Linked DNA regions of Neurospora crassa OR74A. The main gene of each other region encodes a partner of the protein of the gene in region 4 in a complex. Links are inferred from orthologs where the notes say so. Each region holds a gene or a part of one and is shown on either strand. Other genes may lie near its edges. The genes, in order: NCU04155, NCU00812, NCU08026 and NCU03159.

What was found.
Region 1: NCU03159 (region 4) and NCU04155 share a complex: the UniProt entries of both Schizosaccharomyces pombe proteins name them as parts of the RNA exosome complex. The link is inferred for Neurospora crassa OR74A from reciprocal best matches to the Schizosaccharomyces pombe genes rrp43 and csl4.
Region 2: NCU03159 (region 4) and NCU00812 share a complex: the UniProt entries of both Schizosaccharomyces pombe proteins name them as parts of the RNA exosome complex. The link is inferred for Neurospora crassa OR74A from reciprocal best matches to the Schizosaccharomyces pombe genes rrp43 and rrp41.
Region 3: NCU03159 (region 4) and NCU08026 share a complex: the UniProt entries of both Schizosaccharomyces pombe proteins name them as parts of the RNA exosome complex. The link is inferred for Neurospora crassa OR74A from reciprocal best matches to the Schizosaccharomyces pombe genes rrp43 and mtr3.

The regions. Positions count from the first base shown.
Region 1 is NC_026505.1:5,018,327-5,022,253, forward strand, and holds NCU04155 (exosome component 1), read right to left. Parts: upstream 2,435-3,927; 5' UTR 2,130-2,434; coding exon 1,656-2,129; intron 1,582-1,655; coding exon 1,411-1,581; 3' UTR 780-1,410; downstream 1-779. Other genes in the region: NCU04154 (hypothetical protein), read right to left, coding at 1-149; C-8 sterol isomerase erg-1, read left to right, coding at 2,875-3,307, 3,395-3,732. UniProt on the Schizosaccharomyces pombe protein: Non-catalytic component of the RNA exosome complex which has 3'->5' exoribonuclease activity and participates in a multitude of cellular RNA processing and degradation events.
Region 2 is NC_026501.1:7,077,022-7,081,671, forward strand, and holds NCU00812 (exosome complex exonuclease RRP41), read right to left. Parts: upstream 2,903-4,650; 5' UTR 2,296-2,902; coding exon 1,988-2,295; intron 1,879-1,987; coding exon 1,365-1,878; 3' UTR 1,065-1,364; downstream 1-1,064. Other genes in the region: NCU00813 (disulfide isomerase), read left to right, coding at 1-1,064. UniProt on the Schizosaccharomyces pombe protein: Non-catalytic component of the RNA exosome complex which has 3'->5' exoribonuclease activity and participates in a multitude of cellular RNA processing and degradation events.
Region 3 is NC_026504.1:3,956,636-3,960,925, reverse strand, and holds NCU08026 (3' exoribonuclease), read right to left. Parts: upstream 2,779-4,290; 5' UTR 2,586-2,778; coding exon 2,453-2,585; intron 2,394-2,452; coding exon 1,666-2,393; 3' UTR 1,594-1,665; intron 1,532-1,593; 3' UTR 834-1,531; downstream 1-833. Other genes in the region: NCU08027 (nucleoside diphosphatase), read right to left, coding at 34-52. UniProt on the Schizosaccharomyces pombe protein: Non-catalytic component of the RNA exosome complex which has 3'->5' exoribonuclease activity and participates in a multitude of cellular RNA processing and degradation events.
Region 4 is NC_026501.1:4,751,682-4,755,828, forward strand, and holds NCU03159 (3' exoribonuclease), read left to right. Parts: upstream 1-1,649; 5' UTR 1,650-1,846; coding exon 1,847-2,920; 3' UTR 2,921-3,490; downstream 3,491-4,147. Other genes in the region: NCU03158 (alpha/beta hydrolase), read left to right, coding at 3-1,268; NCU03160 (hypothetical protein), read left to right, coding at 3,730-4,146. UniProt on the Schizosaccharomyces pombe protein: Non-catalytic component of the RNA exosome complex which has 3'->5' exoribonuclease activity and participates in a multitude of cellular RNA processing and degradation events.

The DNA.
Region 1 (3,927 bases), on a different chromosome or scaffold from region 4:
AGAACGGCCGCCTGCATCTCCAAGAAGGGTTGGGTCCCCTCGAGATCGATACCGCATTGTGGGCAGCAAGGAGCGGTAGATAACGTTTGGGTGACCGGTTCGACGATGACGGGGGCGGCGGTCATCGTCATGGTGGCGGTGGTTGACATGGCTCACCAGGGCCCCGTTAGGACAGATGATATCGACAAGGAGAGTTCGCGCGTCTTGTCGGATTGGACGAAAATCAAAGATGATGGATTGAAGCGGTTCGTCTGATCTCGATATTTTCTTCTCGGGAACGAAGTGGACTCCTGCCAGGAACAAGAAAACTAGATGGAGACGCCGTTGCGGTGGGGATGGACTGGTTCCCGTTGAAACAGGGGCAGGGAGCTTGTTGTTTTCGTCTTAGACTTTGTTTTGTGTATCTGGGGGGCGCTGAGTGAGATCGCTAACCAACACGCCGCCAGAGCTCCCACTCTGCCTCCTCCTTTTTTGAAGAATGACAAAGCTGTAAAAGGGAGGACAAGAAATGGGTGGAATGAATGTGTCTAGGTACCTCTAGGCACGCAGGGTTTCGGTGACGTACGGGAATCTACCGCCCTCCCCCGTTCTACGCCCCCCCGCCGTTCCGATGATCTTCAGCGGTATGTAGGTACCGCATGCACGATGCAAGGCCCATGTGGGGGGTATACGAGACGCCAAGCCGCCCTTGAGCCGCCTTAAAGAAACAGCACTCGTTAACGTTTGGCCCAGGCGGCGGATGACGGCACAGACAACAGATGAGGTATGTACCTAGGTATGCAAGGGAATAGTAAGGTACGTATGAAGAAGGCTATTGGTATCTTCTATGCAGATTTTAAACGGGTATCCAGTTTCTTGATGCAATGACAGGCGTAGCCGTGTCTGGCGTCACTATATCTTTCCTCGACGTGACAAGATCATACTAACTCGCCATCGTCTTCGTTATCCCTGAAACAGGCGCTGTATCATGACTGTGTTGTTCCGCTGTGTCAAGAGTGAATCGTGACATGTACCCATCTCCATACTTCTCTGAGTGCGAGCCCTATCACCCAAGACCATGTTCTGCGCGGTCTAACTTGGCGTACCTGGAGTATCCGCCGGAAACTCTGGGGCCAGGACATCTCTGGGCTTGGATTTGTCGCTGGGATGCTTGCTTGTGATGCGAGTGGCCGACCGTGTCGATGATGGACCGGCGGACCGTGAGAGCTCGACATTCGACGTGCCGCCGCATTTGCAAGTCCCCAACCGGGTACTGATTGAGCACCTGCTTTCACTACTCGGCGAGCTCTCCGAGCAGATTAACGCCCGTATCGCCTTGATAACACGCTGTACCTCAAGCTAGTAACTCCGCTATGCATTGCTTTTCAAGCATCTTTTTCATGTCTCATTTCGAAACTCCATCCGCCGACTTCAGTAGGGCTTCGCAACCTTTCTGGGTTCGCTTAGCCCCGTCTCAGGGTCCTTGTATTCCTTCCAGTTGACGGGGTACATGGTGTTACCGGCCTCGCTTGTCGCCATGATGACACCGAGCTCGTTACGCGCTGTCGACAGGTAGTAGCTGGCTTGGTCACCAAGAGAAATCTAGTGGGTGGCAGCACGTTAGCGGAAGTGTTCAGTCCATGTCTGGCAGAAAGGGAGAGGAGAAGAGCACTCACCACCTCGGCCCTGACAATATCTCCAGGCCTGAAGCTGTCGTAGATCTTTACCCTGTCCTTCTCTGTTGCTCTCACGTCCTGCACTCTGATCAGGCCCTGCCACTCGGCCTCCAAAACAGTATCGCCGCAAATTAGAATGGCCACAACGGCTTGGCGCGGCATGATGCGAATCACCCGGCATAGCACGATGTTGCCCACTTCAGGAAGCACCTCGCGCTTGTCTGACGAACCCGCTGAACGCAATACCGAGATGGTCGGTAGCTCGGCGGGCGTGGTCTGGGTGTTGATGATCTTGTTCAAGCGCTTAGCAGGGCCAGGCGCCTTGGCGGGCTGTGTGATGTTGACGACGCCGAGCAGCGAAGAGTAGAGGTTCGACTCGTGGATATGGGTTCCAGGACCGGGTTGGAACTTGGAGACAGGGCCTAGGAATTGGCCGGGGATGGCCATCGAAGGGGAAGAGGATGTGCTCGCCATTGTGTCGGTCGTTCTAGGTTGATGGAGCTATCGATGACAAAAGTTTGCGAATGGGTAAAAGTGGTATAGTATGAGACGCGGTGCGACGCGCAGAGGGAAACTAAACAAAAAAAAGATAACGATGCGACAAAACGGACCCCGCGGCGATAACAACTGAGATTGGAGCTTCTGGTACGTGGAGGTAAATGTCCATTCGATGGAATATTGAAATGTGATTGACCGGGCCCGCGGACGGGACTCAATGACGGAGGGGCACCGAAAAAATAGAAACCCCTGTCAGTGCCAAGAGCGCTGTTAGTGCCGCGCTGAGTGCTTTGCACCGACAGTGCTGCCGGGCAACTTGAGCTGCCCTGCCGGCGAGGGGAGCTTTACGGAGCTTCTGGATGCACTCCAGCCTGCCGGTGTGTCTGCCTCCAATTGGTCGTAGCGGTGGCTCCTTCAAGAAATCGGTTTAACGCTATCCGCGCAATTGAGCGTCCTTATTGGTCAAAGCTCTCAAAATCGAACGTGTCGGAAGTCGCAACACCCGCCTGGGCGGGCATGTTGCAACCACAAGGGTCCTCCACAAGGAAATCAGGGGTTGCCGTGGGTAGGTTTGTTGAGGTTGGGCTGACGGACCCCCCTGTCGGTGGTGGAATCTCTGTGGCCATTGTTTTGCTTCTTTATAATTCAAGATTCCCGTCTTCTCTCTCCCCTGTTTCTCCTCCTCGACATTGTGCCGTCTCGTCAATCACAAACCGTCACAATGCCTCCCAAGAAGCAGTCCTCCTCCGGCGGCAACAAGCCGTCCGGCTCTGGCTCTAGCTCCGGCCGCTCTTCCTCCGGTTCGTCTTGCCGCTGCAGCTGCCGCTGCCGCTGCAGTATCGGTGGCTGGCTCAAGTTCTTCGCCATCTTGTTCGCCCTAGTTGCGCCTATCGCCTACGTCCTGGAGCAGCGTCTCGAGTCCTTCTACGTCTTCGATACTGAGCACCTTCACGATCTGTCCAAGCGCGCCATCAGCGCCCACGGCAACGACACCAAGGCTATTGTCAAGTACATTGTCGACGAGCTGAACGACCGCAACGGCGTTGCGCCCTACGTCAACAACGATGAGGAGTGGGTGTTCAACAACGCTGGTGGTGCCATGGGTGCTATGTACATCATCCACGCCTCCATCACCGAGTACCTGATTATCTTTGGTAAGCCCCATCCTCCAGCACGCGTTTCGCAAGCTTGTGCTTCCCGCTTCTTCAGACCCATCACTAACAGCACACTCCACACAACAGGCACTGCCATCGGTACTGAGGGTCACACCGGCCGCCACACCGCCGACGACTACTTCCACATCCTCACCGGCACTCAGACTGCCTACGTCCCCGGCGAGTACGAGCCTGAGGTCTACCCTCCCGGTTCCGTTCACCACCTCGTCCGCGGTACCGTCAAGCAGTACAGGATGCCCGAGAGCTGCTTCGCGCTCGAGTATGCGCGCGGCTGGATCCCTCCCATGCTGTTCTTCGGTTATGCCGATACCCTCAGCAGCACGCTCGATTTCCCTACCCTCTGGCGCACCTCCGTCATCACCGGCCGCGAGATGATTAGCAACTTGCTCAAGGGCAAGTTCTAAGCATTGTGCTTTACGAACTGTCCCCTTCGCGAAGGGTGTTTTGCTTACGAAGGTTTTGGAAACCATGGGATAGAATATAGAGTAGAGATAAGGCTTCTCGGCACAAGCGGCGTCTACGCTAGACCGGAGTTTGGGTTAGATCAAGATATATCCATACCTATATTCACAATCTACGGTAACGTAGTCAAAACATTA
Region 2 (4,650 bases), about 2.3 Mb from region 4:
ACCTCGACAAGTTCCTGAGTGACAAGAACGAGACAGCCAAAGCGCTCCTCTTCACCGACAAGGGTACCACCTCCCCCTTGCTGAAGAGCGTCGCCATTGAATTCCTCGGTGTCATGCCCGTCGGTCAGGTGCGAAACACTCAGTCCAAGGCGGTATCCACATTCGGTGTCGACAAACTCCCTACTCTGATCTTGTTGCCTGGCGGTGATGCCCCTGGTATTGTGTACGACGGCGAGATCAACAAGGCCGCCATGGTGGAGTTCCTTTCCCAGGCGGCCCAGCCTAATCCGGACCCAGCACCGGCCAACGGCAAGACTAATGGCAAGACTAATGGCAAGACTAATGGCAAGGCTAATGGCAAGGCTAATGGTAAGGCCAACGGCAAGGCCAACGGTGGTGAAAAAAACGGAAAGCAAGACTCCAAGAAGGTCGCCTCCTCCGAAACCTCCTCTGAAACGTCCTCCGAAACCCCTGCCCCAACCCAAGAGATTCCCGTAATAATCCACACCGCCCTCCCCATCCCCTCCCTCAACACCCCCGAAAAGCTCGTCAAGGAATGCCTCACGTCCAAATCCAGCACCTGCCTTCTCGCGCTGGTATCCTCTTCCAACGAAAAAGCCCAAAAGGCCCTCACCCACCTCGCCGAAATAAAATTCAAATATGCCCTCGGCCAACACAAGCTCTTCCCCTTTTACGAGGTGCCCCTCGACACCAACCCCGCCGGCGCGTCCCTTCTCAAATCCCTTGGCCTCAAGGAGGATGCTGACATTGAACTCATCGTCATCAACGCCCGTCGCGGATGGTGGAGACGCTACGACGCTGTTGGTGAGGGAGATGATTTCTCGGATCATGACAAGGTGGAGGCGTGGATTGATGCGATTAGGTTGAGCGAGGGCACCAAGAAAAAGCTGCCGGAGGGTATTGTTGTTGAGGCTTCTTCGACGGAGGAGGAGGAGAAGAAGAAGGAAAAGAAAGAGTCTGGTAAGGCTGAGAAGGCTGCTTCAAAGGAGGGGGAGACGCCTGAGGCCCAGTCGAAGACGGCCAGTGGTCACGATGAGCTGTGAGAGATTGGTGAAAGCGTAGTTTGCTGTGACTTGTGTCAGTGAATGGCTGGTCAAAAGTTGAAGGTTTTTTGGTACCTTTCAGTTTCGGAGAACGCTTTCAAAAGTTGGCGCACGTTTAACAGAAACGACATGTTGCTCACCTGACCAAGAGCTGTACTTTTGATTACATTGATAGTCGTGAAATTCGTCAAATTCGTCATGTTGCCTATTCTTTTTTGCTCCAAGCCTTTGTAATGCTACCTACCGTACCATATCCGATTCTGTGACCCGGAGCCCAACCATTGATTCAGTAGTGTCCATTCAATCCAGTTCCATGTCATTCAACCCAACCCCTCTCTCGACCGTGCCCTCCTGTATCATCTTTATCCCCTTCTCTCTCACTACCCTGTCCAAGATCTCCCTCACCTGCTTACACCCGTCCACGCCCACGGCCAACATGCCCTCCAGGCGACTCACCTGCACTCTGCTCTCGCAGACCAGCACCGCCACGCGGTCGCTGTCGCCCAATGTGGCCACCGTCAGGCCGGGCAGCTCCTGCTCCTCCTGGTGGTTCATGTCCAGCAGCGGGTCGGCGCCCTCGTCGTTAGCCGCGTATGTAGACGTCGAGCCGGCCGTGCAGGCCGCGACGTAGTCTGTCATGGGAATGCCGGCGTCGACGCAGGCGAGCGTGGCGGCATTGATGAGGGCGGCCAGCAAAGAGCCGTCTTGCGAGAGCACGTGCAGGGAGATGTTGATGGTGGAGTGCGGGAAGAGGTGGGTGTGTAAGCTGGCAGCGAGGGCTTGAGATATCGTCGATTGGAGTTCGAGGATGTGCCTGTGATGATGGAAGAAGGAAGGATGACGGGTTAGTTATGCGAACAGTGACAGACGAATAGCCGTAGTTGACACTGGGGGGGAAACAACCCCTGGGTGTTTTGACTTACTTATCACCTCTCCCCCTTCGCTTACGGTCAACCGAGCTAAACCCGGCAATGACAATGTTTACAGCAACCTCGGCGTTCTTGGACTGACCACCGCCACCACCACCGCCCGACGTGGCTCCCCTCCGAGGACCGGGCTCGCTGGGTCCGTTAACGACACACATGACCTTGGTGTGGCCCATCTCGAGGTAACTGGAGCCATCGGCGGCGGCCTGGGTGCGGATCTGGGCATGGATGCGACGCAGCTCGTTCCACCTGCGGCCGTCGACGCGCAACAGCGCGAGGCTATATGCTGAAGTATCGAGAGGCATAGCGGTGTAGCTGGGTGGACAGGTGTTTCTTTCTATGTTCTGTTGTTCTAGCGTTTCACTCTACTCCTCTGGGTATCGTGGTTCGGGCTAATCTCTCTACCGGGCAGGTAGCGAGTACACCAAAGGTCGAGATTGGGGTACGGTATCCAGTAAGGATCAACAACAACAAACGCCCTGAGGGCCTGTCTGGGGAGCCGGACCTGAGTCGAGATTTTTTGCTCTTGCTTCCCCTGCTTAGTGTCCACCAAGCTCAGGTTGTGCTTGTAGTTGTACCCTAGTCGTTCTTCGAGTCGGGTCGGCCAAGCTCGATCTGGGAGATCGTGGTTAGTGCGTACAGTTTCGGCTCGATGGGACAGATTATTCGATGCGATATCGTGCCGCGAGCGACGCGCAAGCTCTCGGTACGTTGAGTCGGAGGAGAGAAAGGCTTGCGTAATGCGGAAGTGTCGGGGCCCCAGTTTCAGTGACTAAGTTATCGCGCAAAGTGGGAATTCGGAGCTTCCGGTCGACCAGTCTGAATAATCGACAGCAGGTTCTGGTGGACGGTTGTTGACTTTGAAATCGCCTTTTGCTAGGAATAAACGGACGTGGTTGGGCCAGGCCGAAAGTTTCCAATGGCAAGACAGGAAAAGTTTAGCTGGGCGGGGCGGGGCAAGATCCGCTGCGTCTCACGTTCGCGGGGTCGCCGTGCCGGGCTCCACCGCTCACCTCACTCGGCAGGACGGGAGTTCCATCCGCAGGGCTTCTGCTTAAGTTCTGCTTCGCTTCCATCAGGAGCTGAAAATGCATGCAAGTGGTCTGTGCATACCTCTACACTACTTGTAGGCAAGTTGTTTGCAGCTGCAGACAGAGGACGGGACGTGATGGCCCCGGAACATGGAATTGAAGGTTCCCGTCCATCTACTCTCCACGTGATCTTGACAGCCCCCATTTGACCTCTCCAGCTCATAGCGGTACAGTGAGTTGATGGCAAGATATCAATCGAATGCGCAATGTTGATGGGATCTTGATCGTGCATTGTGAGCAGGAGAGGGCCTGAAGTCTGGACTCAGGAGTGATCACTACTAGGTAGCCTACCTAGAGGTAGGTAGGCTACCTCTACTCAGGGGCACACTGTGGCAGTGGCAGTGACCCCTTGTCAACAGCAAGGAGGAAACCGGCATTCCTCCATTCCCCCCTTCGCTAAGTGAATACGGGACAACGGCCACCAAGATCATCTCATGGGTACCGCGATGCGCTGGGTGTTCGAAATGTCAATTGGTTTGTATTCTTGGAAGCCTCGGTTGAGCGCGTCGTCATCTTCTATCATCTCGGACCCAAGAGTGATCCGGTTCTAGAAGTCTGGAACGCTCGCCAATGCTCCTGGAGCTCCCTATCTGGGGTGCGAATCGATCAAGGTTCAAGAGGATTCCGTTTGGTGTTTTTGGGGAGACTTGTTCAACATCAAGTCTCTACACTAGGAGGCGCCGTCGGTCGGCGCATGATGCAGCCCTAGACAGCCGGCCCAGGCTAGCACGAATTGGCCTAGTCTATCGATATGACTGAACAGAGATCCACCATGAGCAAGTCGTCATCCAGTGACCACAATGTCTTTGTCAACTAAACAGTTTCATCAGGCGCGGTTTGTTTCTCGTTTCACTGTGAAAACCTCGAGGTGCGCGCTTACTCATTGAAGAATTACTGCGCTGGTGGCCCGACCAGCCCACGGGGTCCAATGGAACGGAGAAACGGGGCAATGGGGAAGTGCTGTGTTGCCCAGTCTACCAAGGAACGACCCGCCAACGCCAATTCGCATTACACTTTTAATCAAACTGTGGATGAACGAACCATGAATTAGCCAAGGGGGCTCGCTAACACATTTCGCGGCACTTAATCCGGACATGTGTTAGGGATCAAAGCTCTTTGGTTGGCATTGCCCCCGTTTCCGTTCATCTCGTTTCAGACCACCCGACCGCGACCAGGCTTCGAGAAACAGGGCTAGCGCTGCTATCCTTGACGCCAGAGCAACGGAACCTTCCCGCCCCCATGCTCACCTAATCTCCAGAACACCAGTCAATGCACGTGCGTCCTGTCTTGGGCCCCTTTGAGTGAAAACGAAGAGAAAGGAACTCAACGAATGGGGTCACGATGACGAGTCTATTGTCAGCGAAACAACAATGGCTTCTTTGACTTTGGCAAGCTGGACGTGACCTACCTATTCTTGCAGTGGGTCAAAGGTGCTGCATAATACAAACCTGGAAGTCAGCGTTACGCCTTTGTGCGTCGTCGAAGGGTTCCATTGTTCCACCGAACTGCCGGCGAATTATGTAGGCGGGGGATAGCAAAGGGGCCAGCCAATCACAAGCATCAAGTACC
Region 3 (4,290 bases), on a different chromosome or scaffold from region 4:
TGGAAGACCTGAGGGGGTTGCGGGTGGACGTACAGTTCTTGTCTTTCCCCATCGAGAAGAGATTAGAAGTAGTCGATAAAGCGGATAATGACTAATGCGAAATCAAGTCGGACAAGGCACAGCTGTCTCGGTTCGGCGAGGATTGCTCAAGTTGTCGTCGGTAATGGCGTAATAGGGGAATTAATGTTGTATGGACGACCGCATCGGAATTATGGCATCAACAACCTGGAACTGTTGCGGAATCGCAGTGGAGACGGAACGAATTGATCGACGGTACAAGCAAGGCTGGAAGGAGGAATTACCGGCCGCAAAACGAATGGACAAAACACTATGGAATAATTAAAAGTGTACAGTGTGGTAGGTAGGTAGGTAGGTAGGTAGGTAGGCAGCCGGGACCGTCGGAAGAAACGAGAGTAGGGGTGGTTTTGGGAAAAGTGAAATGACCAGGTGCGAAGCGAGAGAAAACTCGCCCGAAAGCTGGGTGAGGTGAGATTTTGGAGGATGACGGGAAAGATTGGATTGTCAGGTCGTTTTACAATTCCCGCCTGAGTGGACAATGTGGGCCGAACTGGGAAATGTCTGTAGTTTTTTGGAGGGACCGTGGGGGGGCAGATAAGGAGAAGTTCAGGGGAAAGAGGGGCCCGGGACCACGCCACGCCGGGGGGCGCCCCGTCGCTGAACGCGGCCGGCACTGTGCCAATATGTGAGTGGTGGTACCACGTCCGCCTTCGGATGCAGTGACTTCAGTTCCATTGGGTTTCCTTGGTGGCGTTCGTAATGCTGAAAGTTACGGACCAGAACGCCGGTAATAACGCAACGTTACTCGATCTTTGTGCAGATTATGTAGTTGATCATGTTATGTTACCTCCACCTCGAAATGTTGATAAAGATACGAGCTATTCACCACAGTCCCCTTCAGATAAAGTGATTAGATCGTGCCGGACACGAAAAGAAAGTAGTTCAGGTGTAGTGTATGTATGCCCTACGCAGTAATAGTGAAACCTCGGTTCATGATCAGCCACCACCTTTGGCCATGTCTGCCCTGCTTCGAACATGCCGTGCTGCTATGAACGAAACGATACGCGTAATCTCCCCACATCATGTTTCCAATTTCAGAAACAGACGATCATTGAGGCGAAGAACGTGGAAGCTTCTCATACCCCGCGGTTCATAATGTTTCGGCAGTCAACCTCAGAGGGTAGCTCTGCATACCAGCCACAACGCTTCTTGGACGTCATTCGTCCATCACACTGCGATCTTCCAGCTGAGTTTCAGCAAAAGAGCGCTCGCTCAACCTGTCAGACCTTGACAGGCATCTCGAAACTATTCCCGCCGGAAGTTGACCATTCCATTCTTGCAGTCAGCCGCCGAACCTCGGAACGCAGTTCTGTTGTCGCTGCTATCGATTGGCATCTTCCGTTACTTCTGCCCTACATATGGGCTATTGCGAAAGACCAAGTGGCTGGTAGCTCGACCTATTGCATCAGAAGCTGGTCTTCGGGTCGATAAATCGACCAAAATCGTAGAGGTACTCAAAGACCATGAACCGTCAGACCATAGAATTCCATGCGTTTTTCCCGTTGATGGACTTACAGGTTTCAATACGAGTATTTCCCATTCGCGCATAGCTAAAACAAATAATACATTGCCGCGCCGACCTCATGATCACCCAACGGTCTCGTTCAGGCAGTCCACGAGCACGCGGTTGGCGCTCTTGGAAGCCTGAATGCCCTTTTCAATCAGCTGCGTATAAACGTCCATATCGGACGCAGGTAGGTCACCCTTGAACCAGAGGTTGGTGACCTCTTGTCGTGTGGGAAGATATGCGATGCAGCACGCTGCAAGAACCTTCTCATGCTCAGAAGGAATCGGGTCGACAACTATGCTGGGAGCAGCGTCATTACCTGCGTCCTGTACCAACGCAGCAACACCTCCGGCCACAGTGTCGACGCAGTCAATGCCAGCGTCAGCAAGTGCAGCCGAGGCAACGGTGATGCAGCCACTCAAGGCATTCATGGTGTCCCAGGCCTCAATACCCTGGGCCTTGGAGGTCTCCCGATCTTGCTCTCCTTCAACAATGGAGATGATGATATCCACTCCACTCTTTGGCCAACGGTCAGCAATGATAGATCCCCGAAGAGCCGTCTCAAGGTGAGTGCCGAGATCTCTCTCGATCGGGTCACGAATGTAACCACGCCTTTGCTTGGTCGCAAAGGGTGCAAACTTGACATGGGTGGACAAGATGATGTGAGGAGAAAAAGGTGTTGACCTGGGCAAAGCTCTAGGTCCATGAACGCTGCAACTGAGCTTCAAGCCAGAGCCGCCGTTTCCAGACGACTCGATCTCTAGGTAAGCAGAGCCAGAGGCCGACGGTGTCACTCCCGTCTTGAGATCTAAACGTGAGGTTAGTCTGTGTCTGCGAAACAGGAGGGTTTGTCCTCGACGTGCTTACACATTTTGCGAATTACGTTCGCCGGGCGTGACCTTGTGACCTTGAAACCTTCGGATTGCTTCTCGGGTGCATCGTCATAGATGGGAGGGTTGGTAGTCCCAACCGGTCCGTTAATACGTCTTCTGTCGGCCATTTTGAAGCCAAGATACGAGGGCCGGAGATATGGTGGGCTTGGTGATTGCTGTGTTGTTTCCGATGCCCTTCTCTGGTCGAAGAATCCTGAGATAGGTGAAGAGGAAGAGACCTCGTCTGTGTATGGCTTTCCTTGTTTCACGGTTGGTAACTTCTGTTGGTACCTCTGTTGACTGTTGAAAACAAGACGTGAGAGTCGCCGTCTACACTGCAGTGGGTCCACTCTCAAATTCAAGTAGTTGTGGCGCAACCTCACATTCACTGTCGATTTTGATCAGTCAGCCACATGCCCCACCCAGAATTCCATGTCAAAGCCACCGATGGAGGAATTTTTTGCGCAGCTACAAAACTCTGCCGCCTTCAGTTCCAACCTCATCTTGAACTCTTCCACCAACCCACACCGTTCGCAACGGCAGGAACGGCTTGCGATTGTCGGCATTGGATCAATGCCTTCATTTGATATGGCCACTGTCTTTGGGGAGCAGCCATGATACCATGGTCTTACCGTGCTCATGGTCGCTTTGGTTGGGCAGCCTTCTGCGCTGGCGCAGCAATGGCATGGTCATGTCAACTGTCCAGGCATGCTCTTGGTTATTCTGCGATGGCGAACCCCATTGCTAGAGAGCATGTCCTGGCTGTCTGACATGGCCGACGTTGGTTCGCACGGATAGAGTAAGTTTATTTCCCCTTGCCTTTCACATCTCATGATGATCCCATAACCACAGTTCTCGCGATAATCTCTGAGCGATCGAACAAACATGCACTACCATCTGACTACTCCTTCAACACATCCTTCACTTGCAACTCATTTGGAGGAACCGTTGACTGACAATCAATAGTACAGACAAAGTTGTTATTGTCACCGTTGCTGTTCCACTCCGTTTTCTCAGTCTCTACCCACTAGGTAAGCATCACATTGTTTTCCTTTCTGTTTTCTTTCCCCCACCTGACATCATCACCCACCCGATTGTCCATGATGAAACAAAATATTTTCAGTTCTGCTTCTGAATAATAATGAGCGATAACCAATTATACCAAAACCTTCTGATATGGCAATCACCCCAACTCTTTCTTGCAACGACAGCCCTCACCACACATGCTGCGAGCAAGTTGGCTAACAAACTTCAAGTTATATAGGATCTGAAAACGATCTTGCGTCTAGTGGGAGAGTCGACATGCCCATCTGGTAGGTACTTTGCCTTTTTTTTTTTTCCTTTGTCCCATGCACAATGATGACAACAGTCTATCCATTCAACGATATGTACGGGCCGAGCCATCCATCCGCACTGGAGCGTCTTTCGGGGCGTGAGGACTAGTTGTGGTGTCTCCCTTCGGGGTGTCATTTGGCTTCCGTTGTCCGAGTCTCCTGCGCACCGTTTTGGGGCGTGGGAGGCTTGGGCCGGCTTTGTAGGGCTGAGTTAAAACGGCTTGTCTGATCTGTGTCGTCTTCGCCTTCTGCTCGATGCCGATTCGCGTATGACCTTGAACTGACCGGTCAGTAGTTGATGGCGTGAACGTTTCATACGTTTTGTTGCAACGCATCTTTGACGAGGTAAGGTTTGTGTTCATGACTCGACAACTCAATGACCCCAGTAAAATTGGATGTAGTTGAGGATCGACGGTGTGCCTGTCCTTGACATTTACATAGGGCTTCAAGATATCAGCAAGGATAGAACAATGAAAACAAGAGTTGCAAAATAGTTGAT
Region 4 (4,147 bases):
CCATGATGACGGCCTGGGCGTCTAACCTCCGCCCTCAGGTCACTACATCTTGTCTCGTTCTCGGGGCAGTGGGTGTATCCTTGGGGTTGAGTGTCCGCATACTGATGAGCCAAAACTCGAGCAAGAAGCCAATGATAATCCCATCGCCAAGAGTCACCCACCTTCCACAGTTGTCCAAAGACGAAACCTCCTTACTTCCATACCCCCCAGATGCTCTGCCAGGTGCAAGGGACGTTGAGACCCCATATGGAATCATCAAGGTATTCGAATGGGGGCCTGAAGACGGCGAGAAGGTTCTTCTATTACACGGCATCAGCACACCATGTTTAAGCTTGGGAATCCTTGGAGAGGCGCTCGTGGAAAAAGGTTATAGAGTCATGCTGTTTGACTTTTTCGGGCGCGGGTATTCCGATACTCCAACAGACATCCCCTTTGACATCCGGCTTTACTCGACTCAGATCCTCCTGGCTTTGGCATCTTCAAAACTACCATGGACCGGCGACAACGGATTCCACATGATTGGTTATTCCCTAGGCGGAGGCATCGCCGTCTCGTTCGCCAGATACTACTCGCACATGATCCGGTCCTTGGTACTCGTGGCAAGCGCAGGACTGATCCGGTCAGAACACGTGAGCCGAAGGAGCAGGATCCTTTACTCCGAAGGCCTGCTTCCCGAGAGGCTGCTCCGGTGGCTCATACGCCGACGGATCACTCCCCAGTCAGCGACAACGACATCCGAAGCCAAAATGGCTAGCGAGGTCGTGACCGCCACCAGCAACAGTGAACAGTCCACCAAGAAGCATCACAAAAACAGCGACGCCAGCGGCGGGGACTCATTCGACAACGCGGTTCTCTTGCCGCACAGGCCCAATAGCACAGTTTCCTCGGTGATGGCCTGGCAGGTCCAGCACCAGCAGGGATTCCTCACGGCTTTTATGAGCAGCATTCGGCATGCGCCCATTTACGAACAGCGGAAGGATTGGCTAAAGCTCGGTCAGCTTTTGGCTGCCAGGCGAAAGACTTCTTCTCCTGGTGCCGATGAGGGAGCCGGGGCAGAACCGTTGCCGGGACTTTTGGGTGGAAAACTCTTGCTGATTCTTGGCTCAACGGATCCGGTCATTGTCAAGGAGGAACTGATACACGACGCCACGTCAGTGTTGGGAGAAGATGGATTCAAGGCTGTTGTAATGGATGGTGGTCATGAAATCGTTATGACGAAGGGAAAAGAGGTGGCGGGCTTGGCGGCAGGTTTTTGGTCACGGAATTAGATAACTTGGTCGCAAGGGAACAACCATTGTATATGATGATATGATACGTAGGATATATGAGTTTCTGGATGTGACTGAAGATTTTAAGAATTATAAATTGTCGTGTTTCATTGTGCGAGTAAAAACAGAAGTGGTTCGAGCTGATGCAGTGAAACGACCAAGGGGACTTACTGATTGTTGGATTCATGTCCGCGGGTTACACCTGCAGGAAGTAGAAGTGCCCTGAAAGACCACGCTAGGTTGCTAATTCAGCGGCTGTCAGGCGGTTTCTCAGCGCGCACTTGCTTTGCATGGATCCAGCTGCCCAAAGCAGCCTGGTACAGGGGGGTGTATTGGTCGATCCTCGCTGCCGTGCAACCACAAACCCCACCAAGGCTGATAGCCTTTCAGGTTGGAGGAAATTTCCCAAACAACCTCCTCCAAAACAAATCGCAGCCCTCACCAAACAACGCCACTTCAAGCTTTGTACAGCCAGTTTGCAACTCGACAACGGTCGAATCTGACATATAACAAATCTGAATCACATCAGGCACCATAACAACCACAAGTCACCAAACATCAGAAACCAAGCCGTCACAATGGCCGCTACAGTTCCAGCTCCCTCGCTGAGCTTCTCGCGACCAACCTTCGCCAAGCTCTCGCCTCACCCGTACCTTCTCACGAACCTCACCGACCCCGAAAACCCCTGCCGTACCAACGGCCGCGCCCCACACGAGGCTCGCCCCGTTCACATCCACACCTCCTCGCTCGCCCACGCCAACGGTAGCGCACTTGTCCGCACCGGCGACACCACGGTCGTCTGCGGCGTGCGCGCCGAGATCCTTCCCGTCACCAACATCCCCCAGTACCGGCCGCGGGAGCCCTCGTACGGCGAAGAAGACAATGACGACAGCGCCGATGTCGATGAGCTAAAGGACTACGACCTCCTGGTTCCCAACATCGAGCTAGCCACCGGCTGCGCGCCGCAGTTCCTCCCCGGCGTGCCACCCACGACGCTGGCGCAGACGCTCAGCACGCGCATCTACTCGCTTCTGCACAGCTGCAAGGTGGTGGATCCCAAGGGCCTGAGGGTGTGGTACACTCCGCCTAAGGAGACCAGGGAGGAGGGCGCGATGGAGGTGGATGAGGCACAGGAAGAGGAAGAAGAGGAGGAGGAAAGGAAACCGGAGCTCAAGGCTTACTGGGTCCTCTATATCGACCTACTGTTCGTCTCCTTCGACGGAAACCCCTTTGACGCAGCCTGGACAGCCGTCATGGCGGCGCTGCGCGACACGAAGCTGCCGCAGGCGCGGTGGGATCCGGATCGCGAGGCGGTGGTGTGCTCGCGGAGCGAGGAGGCAAAGATGGCGCTGGATGTGCGTGGACTGCCGGTTGCCTGCACTGCGACGGTGTTCTTAGAGAAGGAGCACGGAGAGGACTCGGGCTCCTCGGCAGAGAGGAAAAGCAGGCACTGGATCCTGCTGGATCCGGATAGGTTGGAGGAGAGCTTGTGCAAGGAGACGGTCACCGTGGTGGTGGACTGCAGTGGGGAAGAGACGAAGGTGAAGAGCATTGAGAAGCATGGCGGTACGGTGATTGGAAGAGAGCTGATGAGGGGGTTCATTGGTGTTGCTGAGGGGAGGTGGCAAGAGGTGAAGGAGGCGTCGAAGTAGAGTGTCGGTCTATGGCAGACAGGCATCTCAGGCTTGTCCTTTTCACGAGTTTTCACATGAACGAGCGTCGAAATGAGAAGAGCAATGTAACGGATTTGATACCCTAGGATGTACGGTTGGACAAATGCACGCTCAGAGTGGTCTCGATTATCACCATTGGTCTTGAAACAACTTATGATACCTCGATAGCCGGTTTGCCACCAACACGATGTTCTGCCAACATGATCATGAAGGCAGACCTACGCAAAGTTCTCAAAGGCAATGTCAGGGGCGGCAAGAAAGTGAAAACGACAACATCAGAACGAACGCGCCTGTTCAGCAGACCATGGGCAGCAAGGAAAGTGGAAGAGAGCATATCCAGGGCGGTCAGGACAGTGGGTTCAGGGCTCGGTTACCCTCTTTCCTGTTACTATCAAGGGAAGGGAATATCTCTTGACTGGATGCAGAAGGGCCATGGCTATTCCTTCCTTGAGATCCCAACCCTGAGGAAGGAACGGCACTCTAACAAAGTGAGTACCTCAATGGTCACTGCATTTCATGAAGTATCATGCAATTGTATCGCACCTTCCATTTTCCAAATGACGATACAGCCAGTGGTGAAAAATTTTACTCTTCTGATATTGAGCCCTTCGCCCTTCTCATCATCCTCTCTCCCCCATCCACGCCTTCGATTCACCCGTCTTGCAGCGTTTCGGAGGCTCACTCAAAGAAGCCAACTATTCCAGCATACCTCCAGTCCGTGCCTGCGCTTGAAAGCCCAGCTGCCGTTCACTTTCAAGTCACGCCGACTCACGCCACCGTCGGTTAATATGTCAGATCCCTCTCAGCCGGCCATGTCCCCTCTGGCTACCTTCCACCCGTTTCCAAGGCTACCCTGGGAATTACGCAATGAGATCTGGAAGCAGTCTATCCGCCCACTTGACCGCCCTGGAGCCCATATCTTTTGCTTGGACCTGCGGGGGCCGGAAGATGTTACAGCAAAGGAATGTGACATTCAATGCCCTCGTATTCTTTCAGTGCCTTTACATTATGAGCGTCCGTGTCCGCCTTTGGACATCGGCGAGAAATTCATTCACATTTCAGTCCCGGCAAAGACCTTATCGTCCGGACCCGACGGTAATCCCTCAACGTATATGGTCGATGGCGGACTTTGGACCGCCTGCAAGGAGTCACGGGCAGTGATGGAATATACGTTCAACCACCAGAAGTGGGATCCGATAAGGAAGG